Linked DNA regions of Tamandua tetradactyla. The protein of the gene in region 1 binds, or shares a complex with, the protein of each later gene. Links are inferred from orthologs where the notes say so. Each region holds a gene or a part of one and is shown in the gene's direction. Other genes may lie near its edges.

The links. Proteins that work in one complex are often made in the same cells at the same time.
Region 2: the proteins of GINS4 (region 1) and GINS1 are in contact, whole or in part, in a crystal structure (PDB 2E9X), measured with the Homo sapiens proteins. The link is inferred for Tamandua tetradactyla from reciprocal best matches to the Homo sapiens genes GINS4 and GINS1. Residues at the interface, in NP_115712.1 of Homo sapiens: Met55, Glu59, Glu83, Arg84, Arg86, Tyr87, Leu89, Ser90, Leu93, Arg94, Leu97, Glu101, Phe104, Glu125, Glu126, Phe129, Glu132, Phe133, Asn136, Thr137, Tyr140, Leu141, Val144, Ala145, Leu146, His148, Met149, Pro150, Pro151, Asn152; in NP_066545.3 of Homo sapiens: Phe24, Leu29, Leu33, Met36, Tyr40, Leu69, Leu70, Arg73, Thr76, Val77, Leu80, Tyr81, Leu84, Arg88, Trp92, Glu109, Glu110, Trp113, Asn116, Tyr117, Ser120, Leu121, Tyr124, Ser127, Leu128, Gly129, Gly130, Asp131, Leu134, Ile136.
Region 3: GINS4 (region 1) and MCM3 share a complex: the UniProt entries of both Homo sapiens proteins name them as parts of the CMG helicase complex. The link is inferred for Tamandua tetradactyla from reciprocal best matches to the Homo sapiens genes GINS4 and MCM3.

What each region holds. Positions count from the first base shown.
Region 1 is NC_135329.1:17,019,236-17,027,224, forward strand, and holds the start of GINS4 (DNA replication complex GINS protein SLD5), read left to right. Parts: upstream 1-4,549; 5' UTR 4,550-4,779; intron 4,780-5,433; 5' UTR 5,434-5,452; coding exon 5,453-5,545; intron 5,546-7,989. UniProt on the Homo sapiens protein: Required for correct functioning of the GINS complex, a complex that plays an essential role in the initiation of DNA replication, and progression of DNA replication forks.
Region 2 is NC_135327.1:34,681,584-34,689,454, reverse strand, and holds the start of GINS1 (DNA replication complex GINS protein PSF1), read left to right. Parts: upstream 1-4,489; 5' UTR 4,490-4,613; coding exon 4,614-4,688; intron 4,689-7,787; coding exon 7,788-7,852; intron 7,853-7,871. Other genes in the region: lysophosphatidylserine lipase ABHD12, read right to left, coding at 667-857. UniProt on the Homo sapiens protein: Required for correct functioning of the GINS complex, a complex that plays an essential role in the initiation of DNA replication, and progression of DNA replication forks.
Region 3 is NC_135331.1:110,769,602-110,777,038, reverse strand, and holds the start of MCM3 (DNA replication licensing factor MCM3), read left to right. Parts: upstream 1-4,055; 5' UTR 4,056-4,345; coding exon 4,346-4,423; intron 4,424-5,503; coding exon 5,504-5,616; intron 5,617-6,045; coding exon 6,046-6,254; intron 6,255-6,620; coding exon 6,621-6,751; intron 6,752-7,437. UniProt on the Homo sapiens protein: Acts as a component of the MCM2-7 complex (MCM complex) which is the replicative helicase essential for 'once per cell cycle' DNA replication initiation and elongation in eukaryotic cells.

The sequences.
Region 1 (7,989 bases):
CATTAGTTATATGAAATTCTCAAAATAGTGTCCATGTAATACTTTTAAAGACACTAAAATTAATAAAGGTGGAAAAATAAATTTTGTTACAGGGTACATTCTTGAGCAAGGCTACACTTTCGTGCTTGAAAAAATTCAAAACTTTTCCTATGACTACATTTTAGAAAAGAGCATTACCCTAAGCTGTAAGCATTTAGAAATACTGAGTTTGGTCAGGTTTATCTTTGGAACTAAGGACAATTCTCCAAAATAAAGTGTATGGACTCTAATAAGCATGAAGACATGCCGGCACTTAGACAAATGAGCCTTTTACGGCCATGACGTAAAGGCAAATGAATTTCTTGATGGAAATGTCACATTTCTCTTTGACCCCAATCCAGAAACTTAGAAAAGATTATTTTACTCAATCTGCTAACTATGTTGGCAACAGTATATCGATGATAAAATAAAAGAGAGAGAAAATTCATGATCATTGTATATTCTGCAAGGAGCAAATGACAGTATAGTTTTTTGTATTGCTTCCTCACAGGGTGTCACGTTAGCTGTCTTGGGACTTATTCATTCTTTTAGCAAACTATGATCAATGTCACCTCCTCAGGGAAAGCTGCCCCAAACATCTTTAGAACCATATTCTAAAATGTCCCCATCCTCAACATTCTCTATCATTTACTGGATTTGTTTTTCTACATCGCGTTTTACCTCCATTTGACAAACAATTGTTATTTGTTTATTGTCTGTCTTCCATCCCAGGGTGTGTGTTTCCCATTCACTGCTTTATCCTTAGCTCCAACACAATGTCTGGCAAAGCAGATCCTCAAAAGCATTTGTTGAATGAAGAAATGAATGAATGAATGAATGAAAGAATGATGAGCACTCCGCAAGTTTGGGGGTTACCTTCAGGGAATTCACAGTCTAATGTGAGAAAGACATGTTAAAATTGCAATAGAGCATAATAAATGTTTTATCAGAATCTTATAAGGTATAATGGTGACCAAAGGTGGGGGAAGATGTGTTAGGGATGGTTTTCGGAGGAAGAGATACTTTAAATGGGTCTTAAAGGATGAATAAGAGTGCACTGGGTAGATAAATGGAAAGAAAAAAATTCAGAAGGAGGAAACAACAGGTATAAAGAAAGGAGGCAAAATACCTCATATCTTTAAGTAGTTCAACATGACTGAAGCAAAGAGAATGCAAGGGAAAAAAAGAGAGAGAGAGTGCAAGGATGGAAGTCCCAAACTAAAAGAAAATTAACAGCACTAACTTCTCAGCAAGAGGACTAAAACCATACCAGCACCTCAGTATCCTCCCTACTTCTCGCAAGAATATTGTGCCAATGTGAAACTATTTTGTATCCAAGTTCCAATACTGATCCAATCTTGTGGGGCCAGACCTACCGTTTACGGTATGATCTGTTGCTTTGATTACTTCCATAGACATGTGACACACCCAATTGTGGGTGTAGCTTTTTGACTAGATGGAGATGTGACTCCACCCATTCAAGCTGGGTCTTGATTAGTTTACGAGAGCCCTTTAAAAGGGGAAACATTTTGGAGAAAGCTCAGATACAGATGCTTGGAGAAGAGGTGCTTCAGAGCTGACAGAAACACGGATGTTTGGAGATCCTTGGAGTGCCGACAGCGAGAGCAGATGCTGAGACATGGGCAGAGCCCAGCAGATGTCATCATGTGCCTTCAAGAGGTGCCAAGCAAGCCAGAACCTAGAAAGAGTCACGGGAAGCCAAAAGATGAAACCTAGCCCCAGAGAAGCCAAGTGAGGAAACCCACAGGAACAGTCGGAAAGCAAAAGAGCCCAGGAGCAAGGCATCAGCAGATGTCAGCACGTGACTTCCCAGCTCACAGCTGTTCTGGACAGCATTAGCCTTTCTCGAGTGAAGGTAACCGCTTGTTGATGCCTTAATTTGGATATTTTCATTGCCTTAGAATTGTAAACTTGTAACATAATAAATTCTCTTTATTTCTTTTCTGGTATATTGCATTCTGGCAGCTTTCACAAACCAATACAAATATGTACTCTATCCTCCAGCAGAATTCTTTGGAACTAATCAGAATTAAAGAAGCAGAGGCCAGACTCTAGCTCCCTAATAGAAGAGCAGGAGGAGATTAGAAAAGTCAGGTTAGCACTAGAGAAGGAAGTCCCTAAATCAGTAAACTATTGGTACTTCCGTGTAGAAGTTATCTGTGCCAGAGTAAATATGAGAATACTTGGCCTCAAATCTATAACACTTAAAGAATATTAATAAAAAAACACTGAATAACTATGTGGTAATGATAATTATGGAAGAATGGAATTGTGCACAGTAATCTAATGCTGCAAAACAAACCACCCCAACATTTAATGCAAATATTTGTTTTTACTCACAAATCAGTAGTCTGGGCAGGGTTCGGCAGGGACAGCTCATCTCTGCTTCTCTCCATGTTAGCCCTGGTAGCTCTAGGTCTGAGAACCATCTGAAAGCTCATTCACTGAGACAACCGGGGAATGGAAACACTGGGGCTGCTGAGCTCTTCTCTGTCTCGCTGTGGCCTCTCTACATGCTCTTTCCAGCATGGGAGCTTCAGGGTAGCCAGACTTCTCACATGTCAGCTCACGGCTCTCAAGGGACATGGTTCAAGAAAAGGAGAGCAGGGTGGAAGTTGTATCACCCTTATGAGAGTGCCTTAGTACTCAAGCAGTATCACTCCTGCCACATTCTCTTGGTCAAGGCAATTACAAAGGTCTTCCCAGATATAAGAGGAAAAAAAGATGGACTTCACCTTCTAATGGAGGAGTGTCAACATCACATTGTAAGAGGACCACATGGGATGAGATATATCTTAGGGCAGCTCTCTATGGAAAATGCAATCTGACACAACTAAAACGTGCTGGATTACCAAAGTAGAGTTTAAACGAACCTTGAAAAGTCTATTTGTCATTAACAAAACTCGTTCTTCAAGATGTGGCCCAAATACCCCTTTCTTTTGGGAATTTCCCTTGGTAAATATGCCCACTCTTTCACTTGGAATATTCTATGTAATTATTGTTTATAAAAGGACTGTAATCAGGTGGGTTCTAGCAACCTGTCAATTGGTCAACTTTTTTCCCTAATAAATCAGTATGGCACATGAATCATCACAAAGAAAAGAAGCTTCAGACTGATGGGGAAGAAATATTTATAGAGAATCCAGAGTGATACTTTACACAGAAAACAAAGGAGAGCATCAGCAATTCAGAGACCAAAAAGCTGACATCTCACAAAGAAAAAATACCTATATCGATATCCTTATGTCCTTGTTGTTCCCCCTGCAGTAAGAGCAGAAATTATAAGCAGCCTAAGTCAAAATAACCTAGAGAATTAAGCAAACACCTGATGTAGTAGCAAGGCTGGAAGCAAATTGCCTAAAGCAGTGGTTCTCAAACTTCACCTGCATCATGATCACCTGAAGAGTTTGTTAAAATAGTGTGTTGTGTCCTATTCCCAGAGCTTCTGATTGAGTAGGTCTGGGTGGGCTTGAGAACTTGTATTTCTAGTAAATTCCCAGAATACGTTGTTGCTTGAAGTGTGGGAACACACTTTGGGAACCAGTAGTCTAAAGGTTTTTAGAGGAGCTGGGGTTAAGAGGGGCCAGCCTCTCCAGAACATCAACTAGTTCCATCCCCCTACCCCATATTATTGACAGCCCTTTCCAACATTTAAAAGTTAGCATGGGCACAGTCTAAATACCCCTGAAAACAGGGAGAAAGATCAAAGGTGATGGTGGAGTTATACAGAGAAGATAGGATTTAGCAAATGAGTATGACTGTGGAGTCATTATATTGATATTTCTTTTAGTTTCCAGTGTCTCGGAGTAGCTAGAAAGAAAAACCTAAAATTGTGGAACTATAAACCATACCAAACTCTGAAATCTGTTTTATATCTAATTGTGGCAGTGTGTTTTGAGATTTATTGCTTTTTTGTACATATGTTATTTTTCACACACACACAAAATTTTTCTCATAAAAAAAAAAGGAGAGGGCAGTGCGACAGTGGCTCAGTGGCAGAATTCTCACCTGCCATGCCGGAGACGCGGGCTCGATTCCCGGCGCCTGCCCATGCCAAAAAAAAAAAAAAAAAAAAGAAGAAGAACTGGGATTAATGGTCGTAGCTGAAGCCCTACAAGAGAGGTCAGTGGAAAAGATGAAACAAGAGGCTATGGCCTAAAACTAGCACAACACACTTCTCCATCGGACCCACTGCTGGTCCAAGGTATATGCAGACGCTTGCTCCCTGGTGGCCCGAAGGCAGACAGCGCCGCATCTCGGAAGAGCGGTGGCAAGGCGCCCCCTCCCGACAGCCCTCGTACTGTACCGCAGGAACCGCACACGGAACAGCAGCCCAGGTGGGCGGAGCTAACGCCGAACCAGCCTCCCATCGCCCTTATTCGGAGTGGGAAGATTCTGAGAGTGAACTGCGCATACGCAAGACCCGCCCCTTTATATTGGGCGGGGTCAAGAACGCTGCCTGTCCCTTCTCCCGAACTCTGATTGGTTTAGCGCCTTCCGTACGCGGTGACGTTGTACCTGCCCGGAGTGTTTTCGAGACGTGCGCGGGAGCCGAAAACCCGGGAGAGTTGCTACGTCCCGGAAAGGCCTCGTGCGCGTTGCTCAGCTGTGGTTCCGTTCCCAGATTCTGTGTGGAAGAACCTGGGCTGCCTCCCCGCGATTTCCCGTTCTGACCGCTCGCTACTTTGGAGTGCCTATCTGCCGCCCAGTCCGCGACTGCGTGTCCGAGTGGGCCCTGAGGTACTGCGCGAGCTGCGTGCGTAGGGGGAAGTGCTGCTCTGGGTTCTCCGCAGCGAGAGGGGCGGGACGGGAGGAGTAGGCCCTCAGTTTCCCTGAGAATCCCCGCGGCTCCCCCCCCGCCGCGCACCACACAGCTTTCTCAAGCCTTTGGGGTCAGTGACTGGTCGGCGCCCCTGGGCCTGGCGAAAATCGAGCATTGATTTATTCCCCAACGATTTTAAGTACTTGCCATGAACTAAACTCCGTACCTGCACGCGTTGTTGTCTCCCACAACTTATAAGTGCCAGGCAGTGAGCACAAGCGCAGTTCATATTTGACCTGAGGTAAGCACAGCCCTTGATGACAAGGAGATCTATCGGGAAGACCAAACAAAACAATAATTATTTTATGGTGTGATAGGTGCTCAGTTCCAGGTATACACAGCGGGAACAGATACGAGGGGCTACCTCTTTGAGAAACTTATTCTCTGACCTAAGCTTTGAAGGAAGAGGCAAAGAATTGAAAAATCCAAGTCTGTGAATTCTCTAGCCACTACTGTTGAATCTCTGCAATCCCTTGTAACCCTTTCCCTTCTCCAGATACAGTTGCACTGTATGGTAAATAAATGGAAAACACATTGCGCACACAATGTGTTGGTTCGTTTATGTTCGTTAGGTTCCTGGTTTCAGTGAAAATGACAGAGGAACTGGATCTCATGGGACAGGATTCTGATGGTAGTGAGGAAGTCGTCCTAACTCCTGCAGAACTCATTGAAAGGCTGGAGCAGGTAAGCATTCCAAATAAAATCCCCTTGCTTCAATCTTAGCCTTTTTAGTTAGTCTAACTATACTAATTACAGACTTAGAAAGTAAAGAAATAGAATTCAAGACTTACTTTATTTCAGAAGAATAAAAGCTGGATCTTACCTCTACACAGAAATAGAGGAATATCCTCTATTAGAAATCCCATAATGTCAAATGCAGAGTTATCCAGTGGAGTCAGTAAGGGACAGCTTTGGGCACATTTAATAGAACAGTGCAGAGAACAAGAATGTATTTCATATTTTGGGAGGACTGCAGACATGTTGTGGTAGAGACTTGTAGGCTCCCCTATCTTAATCCTTTGAAGCATTTACTGGATTAGCAAGAAAGTGTCAAAACACCTTTTTTTAAGAAGGAAACTGGTCTTACTCTTCATTTTCATTCGAAGTATCTTCTTGAGTCAACTGTTCTCTTTATTTACACTAAATTGTCTAAAAGTCTGTTTCAATTTGCTAAAGCTGCCTGAGTGCAATATACCAGAAATGGATTGGCTTTTATAAAAGGGATTTATTAAGTTACAAGTTACAATTCTAAGGCTATGAAAATATCCAAATTAAGACACCAATAAGAGGATACCTTCACACAAGAAAGGTCAATCAAGTCTGGGATTTCTCTGTCACATGGGAAGGCACATGGCAATGTCCTTCTCTTTGGGCTTCTGGTTTCAAACAGCTCTCTCACCATCTCCCAGCATCTGTAGTTGAGCTTTCTCCAAAATGTTCTCTTAAAGGACTCTAGTAAGCTAATTAAAAACCCACCTTATGGGGGTCACATCTCCATGGAAATAATCTAACCAAAAGATCCTGCCCATAATAAGTCTGCACCCACAAGATTAGATTAAAGGAGCATGGCTTTTATGGAGTACGCAACAGTTCCAAACCAGCACAAAGTCCTAAAGTAATTTCTAGACTATCGTTTTAGTCATAATTGTGGTTTGTTGGGTACATCCTGTGTTCTTTCTAGGAATTGCATTATGTTCTTTACAATTCATCAGGCAGGCATTTTTAGAGTTCAGGGTCTGGATTTAAATACCTCTATGTCTTTGACCTATTATTTAACCTTAAACAAGTTATATAGCTTGTCTCAAGCCTTTCCTTGACTGTAAAATGGATGTAATAATAGCAGCTACTTCACGTAGTTAGGAAGATTAAATAAGATAAAGTAAATGAGATATGTAAAGTGCCTAGCTTGTTGTCTGGCTATAATAAGCACTCATTAAACGTTAGCTATTAGTAGTAATAACCCTCAAAACAACCCTGTCAGGCAGGTATTACTGTTACCCCATTTTAAAGTTGAGGAAACTAAAGCTTAGAGATGTAAAGTAACCTGCCTAAGGTCACACAGCTGGCAGCCGAGCCAAGATAGGAGCTCAGGTCTCTTTGACTCCAAAACATGGTGTTAAGCCATTATACCTATTGCCTTATTCCCTCTTTTCTTCTCCCTTTAACTGCCCTTTTCCAGAGCTCTTTCGTGTTTGTTACTTTAGTATTCTTCATTCTTTGCTGCTGTGTTAGTTTGTAAGCTACCAGAATGCAATATACCAGAAACGGGACAGCTTTTAAAAGGGGGAATTTTTTTTATTAAGTTGCAGGTTTACAGTTCTGAGGCCGTGAAAATGCTCAAATTAAGGCATCCCGAGAAAGATACCGTTCAAGTTTACAAGCTGCCAGAATGCGATATACCAGAAACAAAACAGTTTTTAAAAAGGGGAATTTATTAAGTTGCAAGTTAGCAGTTCTAAGGCAGTGGAAATGTCCAAATTAAGGCAAGTCTGTGTAAATGTCCAATCTAAGGCATCCAGAGAAAGACACCTTGGTTCAAGAATGCTGATGATGTTCAGGGTTTCTCTCTCAGTTGGAAAGGCACATGGAAAAACATGGTGACATCTGCTAACTTTCTCTCCAGGTTTTTTGTTTCATGAAGCTCCCCCAGGGGCATTTTTCTTCGTCTCCAAAAGTCTCTAGGTATGTGGGCTCTAATGCTTTTCCCAAAATGTTTCCCTCTTAAATGGCTCCAATAAGCAACCCCACCTTGAATGGGTGGGAACACAGTCCATGGAAACCATCTAATCAGAAGTTACCACCCACAGTTGGGTGGGTGATATTGCCATGGAAACGATCAAAAAGCTCCCACCTGGCAATATTGAATGAGGATTAAAGAACTTGGCTTTTCTGGGGTACACAGCAGATTCAGAGTGGCACAGATAACTTGATGATGTTCTGGGTTTTTCTCTCAGCTGGGGAAGCACATGGCAATGTCTACTAGCTTTCTCTCCAGGCTTCTTCAACAGCTTCCCCAGGGATGTTTTCTTCATGCATCTCCAGAGGTCTCTGAGTGTGGGCTCTGGTGGCTCTTTCCAAAATGGTTCCCTCTTAAAGGGCTCTAATAAGCAACCCCACCTTGAATGGTT
Region 2 (7,871 bases), on another chromosome or scaffold:
CGGTAAGCTGGTTCTGACAACTAGCTACCCGAGGAGGAGCGTTCCTGATCGAAAAACGAAGGGACTGAGAGGGCTCTACGCGTCAAGCCGGCGAAGTAGCCAAGGGGAAGTCAGGTGGACCCCGCGCTCTAGGGTCCTCCCCAGGGATACCTCAGTCCTCCCTTGTCGGGGGCGGGGGGGTGTCGAGACTTCACGGCCGCTCCAGTCCCTCGGAAAGAACGCCGGTCCAGCAACCCTCCTCCCAGCCCAAGGGCTCCCAAGGGCTCACCTGGGAAAGGTTACGGGGTGGGGGGGATTACGAGTGCGGGGTGGGGGACGGGTGCAAAGGTCGAGAGGTACTGCAGGAGACCGGTAAAGCCCCTACTGGCAAGTAACTGGGGAGGGTGGGCTCGGTGAAGGAAGGAGGTCCGGAGAAGGCTGTGGAAAGAGGTCAATAGGGTGAGGTGGGGAAGCAGGGGGGGAGCGCTCCCGCGGGCAGATAACTGGAGAGGGGCGGGGGGTTCGAGTCCTAGCGGGCCGCCCTGCCTGCCAGGTGAGGGGGAGAAGGTCCGGAGATGGGTGTGGAGACGTGACTCAGGTAAAGTGAGGAGGCAGGTGGGTTGCGGTCCAGCGGGCAGGTAAGTGGAGAAGGGCGGGGGCTCGAGGGCCGCCCGCGGGCCGCCTCACCTGCCCAGCGCGCGCTTCATGCCCGCGTCGGCGGCGCCGCGCGGCTCCGCGGGCCCCGCTCCCGCCAGGCGCAGGTTCTGCTTCAGGCAGTAGTCGGCGTCCAGCGCCGCAGCGGCCGAGCCGGAGGACGCCGAGCCCGCGGCGGAGCAGCGCTCATGCTCCAAGGTGACAGGCTCGGTCCGCTTCCTCATCCCGCGACCGAAAGCCCGAGCCACCCAGGGCGCCCCCCGGCCCCACCGCCAGCTCCAGCCGCCACCGCCGCTCTGAGCCGCCGGCCTCACAGCCCAGCTCCAGGCCGTGGCGCCGGGATATGGGCTCCGCTGGAACCCGGCCCTCGCGCCGGCCAATCAGCGCCGGGCTCCCGCCGGCCCCGCCCTCTTCCCGCCCCCGGGCGGCGGGGAGAGCTTAGCAGCCCAGCGCCGACCCGCAGCCATCTTGGGGAAGGGCGGGCAAAGCCGCGGGCGCGCGTCACCGGCAGGGCGGGGCTGCGCCGTGGGTCCGCTGCCCTGCACCTGGCCTCAGGTCCAGCTAGGAGTCCCCGCAGAGCCCGAAGCCTGCTTCCCTAGCTACCACTTCAGCCCTGTGCCGGGTCCCCCAACATCGGGAACCAAATCTGAACACCACCCCCCACTCCCCCCGAAAGGTTAATAAATGTTAATGAGAACAGCAAATAGGTAGCTAGGTAGATAGAATGATATGGCAAAGGTGACAAGAGGTTAAAATTGGTAGAGCTGGGTTTTGGCGTGGGGGGTGTGTTGAAGCTCTCTGAGGTTTGTTTTATTTTTGCTACTGTCCTGTAAGTTTGACACTATTTCAAAATAAGTTTTTCTTCGTTTGTTTTTTACACGTTTACAAGAATAAAAAGAAAAGAGTAACAAACCACAGGGTTCCAATCATTGGCCACTTTTCTCACAGGACTTGATTTTTTAAATGTATGCTCCTTGTTAAATTTTTAAATTTGAAACATAAAGGTACAGATATTTCTTTTTTACTTTGGAGCTGAACATGCAGAAAATGAACAGTGTAAACGAATTACTTTTTAGAAATCAGTATTCGATTTTGGATTTTTATAAAGCAATTAGAACTAGCTGATGGGGTGGAGTTCAAAAATAAATTTCCACTTATGAAATCCAATTAACTACTAATTCAACCATCCTAGAAAAGAAGAAATAAGGGCAGTTTCATAAATTTAGTCTTATAGTTTTGGCTTTCTTTAGCACTGTATAGTTCATTGTGCATTATGACCCACAATCGAGAGATATATTTCTTTGTTTATTCCAAAGTAACTTTTCCAATTTTGACCTTTTTGTAAGTTTGAAAACTATTGGCATCTGGCATCTGGTAATTTAAGATCAATCAGAAATGCTTTTAGAAATAGCTTCTTACATTAGGTTTGCAATGATGCTGTGAAATTAGAAAAGAATTTCATTAACCATTTTAATAAATACCACAACCAGCATTCTTATTTGTGTGGATAGCTCCAAATACATTTTTTTAAAAAAAATTATGGACTCTAAATGGTGAATTCTTTAAAGTGATGTGGAATCACATACTGATTGGGAATTAAAATGTAAAAAATATTTGACCCTATCACTCATAAAGTCTCTTAAATTGAAAGACAAAAAAGCAAGGAGGGAGAAATGTAAGGGGAATTTAGTCTTTCTTGGTCCACACTTGCTGCCTGTGTTTTAAGCACTCAGGCTTTAAATGCCACCCCACACTGGTGACACCTACATTTATATCTCTAGATCACACCTCTTTCCTGAACTCCATGCTTCCTTATACAATGGTCTACTCATTTCTATTCTGATGTCCTTCAGGCACCTAAATTTACTACTCAGTTGAAAACTGGGATCCCCAATTCCACAACTTTCCCCACCTTGGATGGGCAGCTTCACCCTTGCAGTTCATCAGGCCAAAGCACCAGGGTCATCCTTGATGCCTCTTTTCCTAGGCCACAGGTTTTCTATCAGCAAGACTAGACAGCACTCCCTTCAAAGTGTATAGCAGACCCAAAGCTTTCTCACTACCTCCACCATCACCACCCTGGGCCAAGCTGTCATCACTTAACCTTTCATCTGGATTATTTTAATAGCTTCTCTGCCTCCGTGTTTGCCCTGTTTCGCCAATTCAGACACACAAACATCTTTTTTTAAAAAACCTTTTTTTAAACCTAGATCAGATCCTGTCACTTGTTTGCTCAAAACCCTTCAATAGCTCCCCATCTCACTCAAAATAAAACCAAAAGAAGTAGCCTACTGGGCCCTATCTGTTCTGGCCTCCAGCCCCTCCCTTATCTAAGCCACCAGTCTCCCCTCTTGGCCTACTTCAGCACTTGGCTTCCTGCTGTTCCTTGCACATCCCTCCTCAGGGCCTTTGCACTTGGATTGCTCCATATTGCTTCCTGCTGTTCCTCGCACATCCCTCCACAGGGCCTTTGCACTTGCATTGCTCCATATCTACATGGGTTACTCTCTACAGCCCTCGGGTCTTCTCCCAACACTTAGACTCAAAACCCTCAGACCCTCACACCATCACTGTTTACCTCCCTGGCTTATTATTATTCACACTTGTCATCAATATATATCATCAATAAATACTGGGCAAGGGCTTTGTTCACTGCTTTCAGTGTCTAGAAAAAATGGCACTTCCTAAATATTGGCTGAAGGAATGACTTAGTCATTAGAATCCCCCAAGGAGGGGGTTCTATCCCCATTTTACAAATAAGGAAGCAAGTCTTGGGGAAGTTCAGGGACTTTGCCTAAAGGCACAAATTAAGAAATTTATGGCAGAGGAGGAACGTGGAAAGTGGTGTTCGGACCACAGTCCTGCATTACATCCATGGTAGAATGTGGATGATAACACTTGGCTAAAGTATTCCTTACTGTAGGGCTGAGAAGGAAAAGCCAGTCCACATAAGGATAAAATTCAGAGGATTTGTCTTTAATCTGGCCATTTTTCAGTCGTATATCAAGTGTCTATAGTTGCAAAAGAGCAGTGGAATTTCTAGGGTTGGCTAGAAGTAATACTGCTTTTAAAAAAAAAAGCAGCGTAGTTAGTATACATTGTTTCTATAGCAGTGATTCCCTGTTGATTCTACATGGTTAAGAAACTTTCCATAGGTCATCTAGAAGAGAAAATGCTTTGTGGATTCGTGTAATTCTAGGGCACTTTTTCTCCCTCTAGAGACCTTGTGACAAGGACTGATTTACAAACAACTTTACTTGATTGCTTAAAAATAAAAAAAGTGCTACTGTTTTTATTTGGTTTGATAGTGGAAAGCTTAAAGTCAGTGTGACCCTGGGCAAGTTACCTAACTACTCTGCTTCTTAATAGCCTTAATAATCACCTTTAGGGATAATTATGAGAAATAAACTAAATAAATTTCAGTTCGTCGCACACATGAGGTTCTCAATGAAAGCTGGTTTCCCTTGACTATCAAACAAAAAACTCATGCTGTAAAAGTACACAAATGAAACGCTGCGTCACAGTATTAATGCAAGTTCTGAACCTTTCTTCTTCGTCCCAAAGGTCTAAACCTAAATGAAAATGAATGAGTCAAACGGCAAAAGGCGGAAAAGGGAAGGATGCGCGTTCCTCCAGCCCGAGCCGTGCTGCGAGAAGTTCTGTCTTTCCGAGCTCGTGGCGACCCGGAGCTTGCAGCGTAGAGGCCTCACCCCTCCCAGTGCACTGTCCTTTGGGGGCTGGCCCGCCAGCTCTGCTCCTCTTCAAGTGCAGATGCGCGGCGGAGGTAAATGTCCCTCTTCGGCCACCGTAGCCCGCGGACTAGCAGTGCTTTTCCATTGGTTGGTGTGTTTGGCGCCAAAAGGAGAAACGGAGTGGGAAGCCAGGGGCATAAGCTGAGGGAGAGATTGCAGCGCAGCGGTCGAGAGTCCGACGACTGTCTGGCGTGAGAGCGTTGTTGAAGAGGCTGGGGTGCGTCCGCCATGTTCTGCGAAAAAGCCATGGAGCTGGTCCGCGAGCTGTACCGGGCGTCCGAAGGGCAGTTGCCAGCGTTCAACGTGAGCTGGGCGGCCGGGAGGAGGTGACGGGGAGGGACGGGGAGGGGGCGGGGCTGAGGCAGAGGGGCGGGGCGGCTTCCTCGGGGTCCTCTCCTGCGTCTCCCTTACGAATTTTACTTTACCCCTGTACTAGCTCCAAAGTCGGGAAGAGAAATTTGGGACAAAGCAGGAAAAAACGCGGGAGGGAAAAAAAAAACATTCATGCTTATACTTCCAGCGATGTGATGAATCTGTCATATGAACATATTTCCTTTAGTGTTTTTCTAAGCTTAGCTGTATTGTCTGATAGTCTAGCATTTTTCCGGAATCGGACTGCGAAGTGTGGTGATTAAAAGCTAGGCCTCTGGATTAGGCTGGGATTTTTGGTTCCGTTGTGTGGTTTAGGCACTGTTACTCAAGCTTTCTGTGCTCGAAGTTTTCTTAGCACAGAAATAGGATGATGAGGATAATCCTAGCGCCCAGCCCCCGGGGAGGGAGGATTCGCAGTTTGTGTGTGATGCGCTCTGAACAATGCTTGGCAAACGGTAGGGGCCGTTTGCTACTAATTTTATTTCTATTTCTACTCCTGCTATTAGGATTATTCTTACTTCTCTGTTAACTACTACTGTGTGCCTCACAGGGAGTTAAGCACTCGACTTCTGTTATCCTTATTCTCATGATAAACCTTTGAGATATAAACTGTTGTTTTTTTTTTTCTCCAGGTATATAAAAGGAGGCTTGGGGAGTTGAAGTAACTTGCACTGGTGAGGTAGCCAGGAAGGAGTAAACTTAGGATTTGAACCCTGGCAGCCTGGCTCCAGAGCCTAATTCTGAATCCTATGCTAGACTGTTTCCACTGTCTTAGCACAGTGACCTGTAGATGCCAGGGCACATTCTACTGAGAGAGGGATATGAAAACAGGTAAACAATGCGGTGTGGTAAGTGATAACTTCGAGGTGTAGACAAGGAGCACAAAGGAGAAATGCCAGTGTGAGGTGAGGTCCAGGAGGGGCATTGGAGTCATGTCTGGAAGGATGAGTTCACCACTCCCAGCCAAAGGGCACTGTAGTGCAAAGACACATGATCACAGCTAGGAAAGGTGCCTGAGAGAGGGTATGTGGGGGACAACACAGGTTAGCTCAGAGGAGTCCAGTCATATGCACAGAGTAAGGAGTAGAGGGTTTTAGGCAGGGCTGTGATGGGGTCATTTTTGTGTTTTGAAGTAACTATAGCTGCAGTGTGAAGAGTGGATTGGAAAGAAAGAATAAAGGCAGAGCAATGGATTAGTAGGCTGTTATAGTATACCAGGTGGAAAACATGCATGGTGTGAACTGTGTCAGGGCCATGAGCACTAGAGTGGGTTATGGAGACTTGGAACAAATAGGATTTGTAACTCTTAGGATGAGGTAGAGATGGGGTGGGTGATGCATGGGCAGGGAAATCAGGGAGGTTTCTTTTAGCATACAAGGCCATCAGTCAACATAGGTAGAGATCATGAGAAAGAGTGTTTGGGAAAGGTGATGAATTTAAGTTTGAACGTTAAAGATCACCTACTGTGACAAGTCATTTTACGGATGAGAAGACTGAGCCAAGAGAAATTATGAATTCAGGGATGTGTCTATTCTTCCAGCATATTGGAGGCAGTCTCAATTTGAATACTGGATTCTGTTCTTTCAACTTCAGAAGAGCTACATAATTTAAAAAGTTAGGTGAGGGTGGTACAGTGGTGGCTCAGCAGCAGAATTCTCGCCTGCCATGCCAAAGACCCAGGTTCAATTCCCAGTGTCTGCCCATGTAAAAAAAAAAAAATGTTAGGTGACATCAGGGGAAAGTTCAGAAGAGAGGTGTGCTGGGTATGGGAGCTCTAAGATATGGCTCCACAATGGGGTCAAAGATCTAGGATCCTGGGAGGAAACAGGCCAAGGGGACAGAGTGACTTGTCCAAACAGGCAGTGGCCAACCTGGCTTTGGACCCGGCCCTGGAGACCTTGAGCCCAGCATCTTTTCACTCCAAAAGCATTTTAAGATGTCTGTTGGTTTACCACTAAGACCTTGGGGGCCAAGGTCTTAGGAACTGTGAAAGCAGTCCTTTTAGATGTTACTGGGAATGCCTTTTGTATCCTTTGTCTTGTTAGTGCCTTCCTGGACAACCTACCTGGTAGTCAGTGTGACTCAGCAGATCCAGGATTGACCTGAGGGCCAACAAGGGTTTCAGGAATCCTGGCCCCAAGGAAGTGATAGCTGGGAGGGCTCCTCTGCCTTGTTCATTCCAGGATTGCACAGGGTGAGGGCTGTGTTCAGCAAGTTAAAACCATTATCCTCTTTCTATGTCCAGAACTGTGGTGATTGAGTTTCTAGGAAAATGATCTTGGGCACCCAGGGGCAGCACAGAACAGATGTAATTCCCACTAAAGATAAAAATTCAAACCTGAAAGTGTTTGTATTTTATGAAATTATTTCTCACTTGGATTTTATATACCTGCAGATCTCTTAATTGTACAAGAATTTTCAATTTCAAGTAGTACTTGCTGTATTAAGGAGAATGTTTAACTGAAAACAGATAAATCAGACTTTTTCATAATTTTTTCTTTACCAGCTGATGAAAGTGAAGGTGGAAGCATGCTTATATTTTCCACAAAGAATTGTCTTTTTTTGTATTTGAGCAAGGTTTATATAGTTGGTTTTGTAATTATATCAGTAATACCAAAGCATTTTTGGCTAACACAGGTATTTTGGCTCTAAAAGTAAATTAGGAAAAATAGACAGGTTACTTTTCTTTGGATTGTTGACAAACCTATTATATAACATTTATGAATTTTAGGATGCTTATGCTTTATCCTTCTAAGGTAAATGTAAAAAAAGAAATTGCCCCAAGGTAAATATTAGGAAAACCTTTGTTCTGTTCTTGCAGTGCAAACCAATACACTGTGCCTTTTAAGACCATCTTTTTAGTAAATAATAAATTATTTACATATTTTTGTCATACCTGATTGCTTCTGCAGGACTATTGATTTTTGATTAGCTATATAAATCAAAGATAAATGTAATATAGACAGAATATTCCACAGAATTGGTGGGGGAATTAATGAATGTGTATCAATATCAGTTTATGTATTCTAGGAGGATGGACTCAGGCAAGTTCTGGAGGAGATGAAAGCTTTATATGAACAAAACCAGTCTGATGTGTAAGTTTTAAGACAATTG
Region 3 (7,437 bases), on another chromosome or scaffold:
TTGTTATTTGCATTAAATATCTTTTCCCGACCTTTCACTTTCAACCTATGCTTATCCTATGCTTATGTCTAAGATGCATTTCCTGTAGACATCATATAGATGGGTCCTATTTTTTAATACATTCTGCCAGTCTTTGTCTTTTGATTGGGGAGTTTAATCCATTAACATTTAGTGTTATTACTGTAAGGGCAGTACTTTCTTCTACCATTTTGCTTTTTGGATTTTATATGTTATATCTAATTTTCCTTCTTCTTACCTTTACTCATAGTCTTCCTTTCTACACTCTTCTCCACACCTCTTTCTTTTCTGTTTTCATATCTGTCTCTAGTGCCCCCTTTAGTATTTCTTGCAGAGCTGGTCTCTTGGTCACAAATTCTCTCAGTGATTTTTTGTCTGAAAATGTTTCAATTTCTCCCTCATTTTTGAAGGACAATTTTACTGGATATAGAATTGTTGGTTGGCAGTTTTTCTCTTTTTGTAATTTAAATGTATCATCCCACTGTCTTCTTGCCTCCATGGCTACTGCTGTCAAATCTACACATAGCCTTATTGGGTTTCCCTTGCATGTAATGAATTGCTTTTCTCTTGCTGCTTTCAAGATTCTTTCTTTTTGACATCTGACATCTTGATTAGTAAGTATCTTGGAGTATGTCTATTTGGATCTATTCTGTTTTGGGTATGCTGCACTTCTTGGATCTGTACTTTTAAGTCTTTCATAAGAGTTGGGAAATTTTCAGTGATAATTTCCTCCATTAGTTTTTCTCTTCTTTTTCCCTTCTCTTTTCCTTCTGGGACATCCACAACACATATATTCACATGCTTCATGTTGTCATTCAATTCTCTGAGTCCCTGCTCATATTTTTCCATTCTTTCCCCTATATTTTCTTTTGCTTGTTGGATTTTTAGATGTCCCATCTTCCAGTTCACTAATCCTATCTTCTGCCTCTTGAAATCTGACATTGTAGATTTCCATTGCTTTTGTTTATCTCTTACTGTATCTTTCATTCCCGTAAATTCTGTGATTTATTTTTTCCAGATTTTCGATTTCTTCCTTTTGTTCATTCCTTGCCTTCTTTATATCCTCTCTCAATTCACTGATTTGATTTTTGATGAGGTTTTCCATGTCTGTTTGAACATTCTGAATTGTTTCAACTCCTGTATCTCATTTGAATTGTTGGTTTGTTTCTTTGACTGGGCCATATCTTCAATTTTCCTAGCATGATTCGTTATTTTTTGCTGGCATCTAGGCATTTAATTACCTTAATTAATTTATTCTGGAGATTGTTTTCACTTTTTTTTTACCTAGGATTTTCTTGCTGGATGACTTTGTTGTCTATCTGTTCTTTGACATTCAGTTCAGCTTATTCTGGACCTCTAGCTTAGGTTTTGTTGTCAGAATTTTTCAGTTCTTATTCTCTTGTTTCTTGCCCTGCCTGTATGGTGCCTTTTTTTCTCCCCTTACTATGGTCTACTTAGGTATTATAGAGCCCAGCCAGATTTTCCCAGACCAAACTGACCTCCTGTCAGGAGGAAAGAGTCATCTTCATCAGTTTTTCCTGAGGGTGAGACCCAGCAGATTGAAAGGTTTTCCTATGAAGTCTCTGGGCTCTCTGATTTTCCTATCCTGCCCAGTACATGGCGCTTGTCTGCCTATGGGTCCCACCAGAATAAGGTGTTGCGGTATCTTTAACTTCAGCAGACTCTCCCTGCTGGGGGCGTGGTGGAGACAGAGGAGAGGTTGTAGACCGGTTTTAATCGCTTCAGTTTTCCAGACCCTGGGGTCTGAATTCCTTGAGGGAGGGATTCCATCTGAGCTGGGCCCCACCCCTCTCTTGGGGAAGGTACAGGCTCCAGACAAACACTCAAACCAGCTTAATTCTGCCTCTGCTTGGGGCAGTGGAGCCCAAGAAGCCTTGCAGCTGTATCCAAAGAGCAGTCAAACCATAGACACACAGCCACCAAAATGGAAGAGAAAATTCCTTTTCAGAGCAAGATCCCCATTCCTAGGGTTTGCCAATCAAGAGCTTAAGTTGGCACGTTGCTCTGTGTATCTCCAGGTCCCATATGCCCCCTCCTTTCCTTCAGGGCCCAGACCTTTCAAATCCAAAAACAGCTATTCTTTTTTTCTCTTTTTCTGTCAGCCCTGCCCCCTCTGAGCGGGGGCAAAAACCAGCAACCTCTGCTTTTACTCAAGGTTCAACTGAGCTGGGGGCCTATTTTTAGTAGTCAGAATTTGTGAATTAATTCCACAATTGGAATTTGGTTGTGCTCAGCCCCTGGTGCTCACAAAGTCCCTTTCCTTTCCCCTCTGGGAAGTAGCATGTGGGGGAGGGGCGCCAGCCACTGCGGTTTGGGGAACTTACGGTTCTGGGTGGCCTGGGGAACTCTCGGTTCTGGAGTGCTCACAGCCGGTCCAGCTGGTCCAGACTGGGGTACACTGTGTGTCCGGTCACTGACGTGGCCCCAGCAGTTGTTCTGTACTGTTCCTGGCTATTTATTAGCTGCTCTGGAGGACGAACTAAATCCCACACCTTGGTAAGCCGCCATCTTGGCCCCCTTCTCAAGAAAAATGTGTTTAGTATCAAAGATTTATTCTCTAGAATCCAATTCCTTTGGGCTTTCCACCACTAACGAGTTGATATTTTTGCTTCTTTGAACTAGACTGGTTCTTGGTTCTTCTGGTGTTAATTTTGAAGCTGTGTTTCCAGAGCGAAGAACATTGTATTGCCTTCAATATATTCATAAAATGACAATTATGAATAAGTCATAAAGACATTTTAAATAATAATGACCTTTTACTAGATAATGGTAAACAAGATCCTCATTGTAGAAATTTTTTTTTTCTTCTTGCCTGTTAAGCTGTTGGATGCAAAAAGCAAGCAGCCAGGCATGGCTTTTTTTTTTTTTTTTTTTGATTCAGGTTCATGTGGTTACCTGCTCACCATCCTGGAGATTTTCAAAGGTAAGTTAAAAACCAGTTGGTTGAAATTTTAACTGTAGAATTGCCAGGTGTCTTATATTGGGCAATCTGTTATTTTATTTTCCTGTGAACTTTTTGGCGCAACGGAAATGGAAATGTTGTTTATAGTGAACTGGGTCATAGTTACATACATACGTACATTGTGTAAACATTTATTGAGCTGTAAACTTAAGATCTGTGTATTCTACTGTATATAAATTATATCTGAAAAATAAAATTAACCAAACCACAAGAGAGAACAACAAAAACAAAACAAAACAAAAAAACTTTGACATTCAATTGTTATAATAATTTTACCCTCAGATTTGGTATTCTTAATCACCCATTGATATTTAACAGTGGCTTGAAATACTTGGTTTTTGTTTCTCCTTGTATTTGTTTACCTGTTAAATTAAGCTACTTAAAAGAATCTTGTGATCTTTCATAAAGTGAAAAAGCCTTTTGTGATTTACTAATTTTATCCTCTAATTTATCCTTTCACAAGTAAGATGACTGAGTAATTATGTCCAAAATTTTGTTGAATAAGACATGAGGTTTTTGCTTGGGAGCTGGAGGATATACAGAAAGTTTTTCTTCAACTCCACCCTTCTTGACGGCCTAGCATGATTATGGGGTACTTCAGGTATCGGTAATCTGATCAAAAACAGGTATAAACTAAATAACATTTCTCTGAGATGCTATGATTCTATTTTCCATTTCACAGATTCTTAAAAACACACTGCTTCCCGCCTCCCGCCCCAGATACTACTTGAGGGATGTTGCATCTGAAACATATCTAGCATACTTAATTTGTATACATTTTTAAAAGGATTTGCTTTTATGTTTTTCACCCTCCTGCATTTTAACCGCCCGTTTTCTGGCTATTCTCAACGAAAGACCCACAGAGTAGACCAAATCCATGGTTACATTGGATCACTCTGCGGCAAGCCAAGGTACCGCAGCCTGCAAAGAACCTCCTGAACATCCGGAAAGATAAAACTACGACTCCCAGAATGCAGCGCACCCCGCCTCTCCGGCTGCCCAATTACTAGGCTCCGTGGGCTCTCTCTTCATCCCATTGGCCAGCTCTCCCGGCGGGGAAGCGGGGCGGGGAGGGGAGAAATATAGAGAGTCCCGGATGGCGTATTTCCCGCCACCGCGAGGCGCTGCGTGGAAAGCCGGGAGAAGAAAAGCTGCCGATTGGATATTCGGTGTTCCGGTTTACGAGGAAGCAGCTAATTAGAGTGCGTATTTCACCCAGAGTCTCCGCCCCTTCCTCGAGGTACTCTTTGGTGGCGGGAAAAGCTCGGAAGTTTTCGTGCCGCCGCGGAGTCTACCAAGGGTCCTACACGCGGCTCTAGGGTAGGCGATTCCGAGGCAGCGAGCATGGCCGGGACTGTCGTGCTTGACGATGTGGAGCTGCGGGAGGCGCAGAGAGATTACCTGGACTTCTTGGATGATGAGGTGAGGAAGGTGAGGGAGGTGCGGGCGCTCGAGGCCCTGGTGTTCGGACCCCCGGGGACGGCGGGCGGGCTGAATGGTCGCGCGGGATGCCGCTCTTTCCGAAGCAGCGACAGAGCCCGGCAGCGAGAGGCCGGTCAGTTCTCCCTACTCTGACTGGCTGACTCGCTTTGCCGACGGCCGGCTGAGGAGCCTTCCGCCCGAACGTGTAACTCCTCGCTGTGAAATCAGTTGCTAATTGCCTCTCTCTAGTTGAATCTTTAGAGAGCCGTCTGGTAACTTTCTCCCCAATACAAGTAATAGTCAGGTCTCGCAAATGGCGACAGGCTTCCTTCAAGTGCAAACAAAATGTCAGCGTCCCCCTGGCCTTTTCGAAATTACGTCCTGCTCTTTTTGGGGGACAGGGTGGGAGAGGGAATATAGGTGAGAATCCATGGTGTTCGTCAACGTCTTACCACTGGGAGGAAAAGACCTTTCTAATTTGGCCGCATTCTTTTTCAGTTCCCAGTAACATGAAGATTAGGGGGTTTTGTATGCCACCCAAGATGTAAAACTATAGAATGTTGAAAGGTTGATGCTTTATCTGTAAACAAATGTCACCTTCTTCAGGCCTTCCTTTAGGTCCAGATATGAGAATTCTATATTATTACATACAAGATTGGGAAATGAAATACTTTGATTATATACGTAATTTTTAGATAAAAAGGCATTTTAATATATATTAAAAGTTCATTTACTTTACATTTTAATAAGGTTTTTATTTATTCTTTTAGTCTTCGTTTGAGCTCATTTTAATTCCCCACTAAAGCATACAGAAATATTTAATAAGTTGTTGTTGATATTAGGAATAATAGCATGGACCGTTATCCTTGAGAAAATTGTTATAATTCCTATAGTGTTGCAAATAGGCATTTTTGGAATCTGAGGCCAGGAATGAAAATGGGAGAAATTGATGAATGGATACTGGGGTTCAGCACTGCCTCAGAAATTGACTTGCTTATCTCGCTATGACAACTACCTTTGTTTTAAAATATCTTATTTTTACATTTGTGGTTGTGCTGATGTGTGGTGACTATTTTGCAGGAAGACCAGGGAGTTTATCAGGGCAAAGTTCGGGAGCTGATCAGTGACAACCACTACCGGCTGATTGTTAATGTGAATGACCTGCGTAGGAAAAATGAGAAGAGGGCTAATCGGTAAGTGGCAGGGGAATCGCAGGAAGATAACCCTCTTCCCCATGTCTGAACATGTCTCCCTTCCCAGGAGAGGACCCAGATGAAAAGTGATTGACTTAGGAGCCCTCATAGCCTCACCTGCTCCTATATTGTTGTTGTTTCTTCTTTCAAATGTAGGTGGTAACTATTTTCCTCTCATGTGCATCTCCTTCCAATGTTTAACTAGGTATCATTTCTACATCTTTGACAAGTTGAAACAAACATGACCCTTAGTTCTAATGTTATTATACTGAGTCTTGTAGGATGACAAGAGAAAGTAAGAACTGGATTTCCACTCCTTGGTCTTGACTTGGTCTTGATGGTCCAAGAATGTCCAATTCCTTTTCCAGGGTCACCTTTTTGGAGTTCTGTCCTCTCTGCCTAATTACTCTTTTTTTTGCCCATATGCAGCCTCCTGAGCAATGCCTTTGAGGAGCTGGTTGCCTTCCAGCGGGCCTTAAAGGATTTTGTGGCCTCCATTGATGCTACCTATGCCAAGCAGTATGAGGAATTCTACATAGGATTGGAGGGAAGCTTTGGCTCTAAGCATGTCTCTCCCCGTACTCTCACCTCCTGCTTCCTCAGCTGTGTTGTCTGTGTAGAGGGCATTGTCACTAAATGTGAGTGGGTTAAAGTGGGGACTGAGGGAATGCTATACTTCACAGGGCTGGAAAAGCCAAAAAAGGCAAAGTAAAACTGGGTAGCTTGTGGCTTCAGAAAGGTGAATGATTGAGATTATGGGTGAAATTTGGAGGAGTTCAGAGTGCGCATAGTGATTAGGGTGGAATCAGTTGTACTTAACATTTTACATAGATATGGTGATGTTCTAGATATAAATGCGAAAATGAGTATATGATAGGTAGTATCGAAAAAACTTAAACTAGTCAGAACCCAGTATTTGTAGTCATTGTAGGCTTGCCTGTGTTCATATTACATCTCTATCATTGTCTAATTGGATGATTTTAAATGCATGTTTCTCTTCCTAGGCTCTCTAGTTCGTCCCAAAGTGGTCCGCAGTGTCCACTACTGTCCTGCTACCAAGAAGACTATAGAACGGCGTTATTCTGACCTCACTACCCTGGTGGCCTTTCCATCCAGTTCTGTCTATCCCACTAAAGTGAGTGGAATGAATCAATAGGGCTTCTTTGGGGGTTGAAATCAGAAGTGCTTGCTAGCATACGAGTAATTGGGTAACATCTGAAATCTTGTAGAAGTAGATGAAGTGAATAAATAGTAAGGATTAATCCAAAGAAAAAGTTAATTATTGGCCAGAGTTTAATATGGAAAATTCATAATTCTTATATTTTAAAAAAGAATAAATATTTATTTTAAAAGATTGGGGAAATTGTGGAAGAGTTATAAGAAGGGAGAAAAATAATTCATTCTGCATAGATCTTTTAAAAAAAATTAAAATCTTATGTATCTCTTGTAATATGCTTTAAACTGAACATAGGAAAATACTTATAATATTACTATAAAATCTTTGCACATGTCATTTTACTGCATATATAATAGTCTGTCACACAACAAATATACCACTTTGTTAAGGTTGAATTCTACAGCCACTTTAGGTTATAGAAATCCCATTAATCTTGATGTTGGTTTTAGGAGCAGTTTGCTAGTTTGAGAGAAAGCTGGCATAGGAAAGCGTTCTTTTCTTAGATCAGTCTGAATTGAGGAAAATGCAAGGCCTTCTTACTTAATTAAACAAAAGAAAATATTTAATATAGATTACCTCATGTCTGAACTCATCCTATCAAAGAATGCTCCCCCCCATCAATTTTTAGTTGTGAGCTAGTGTAT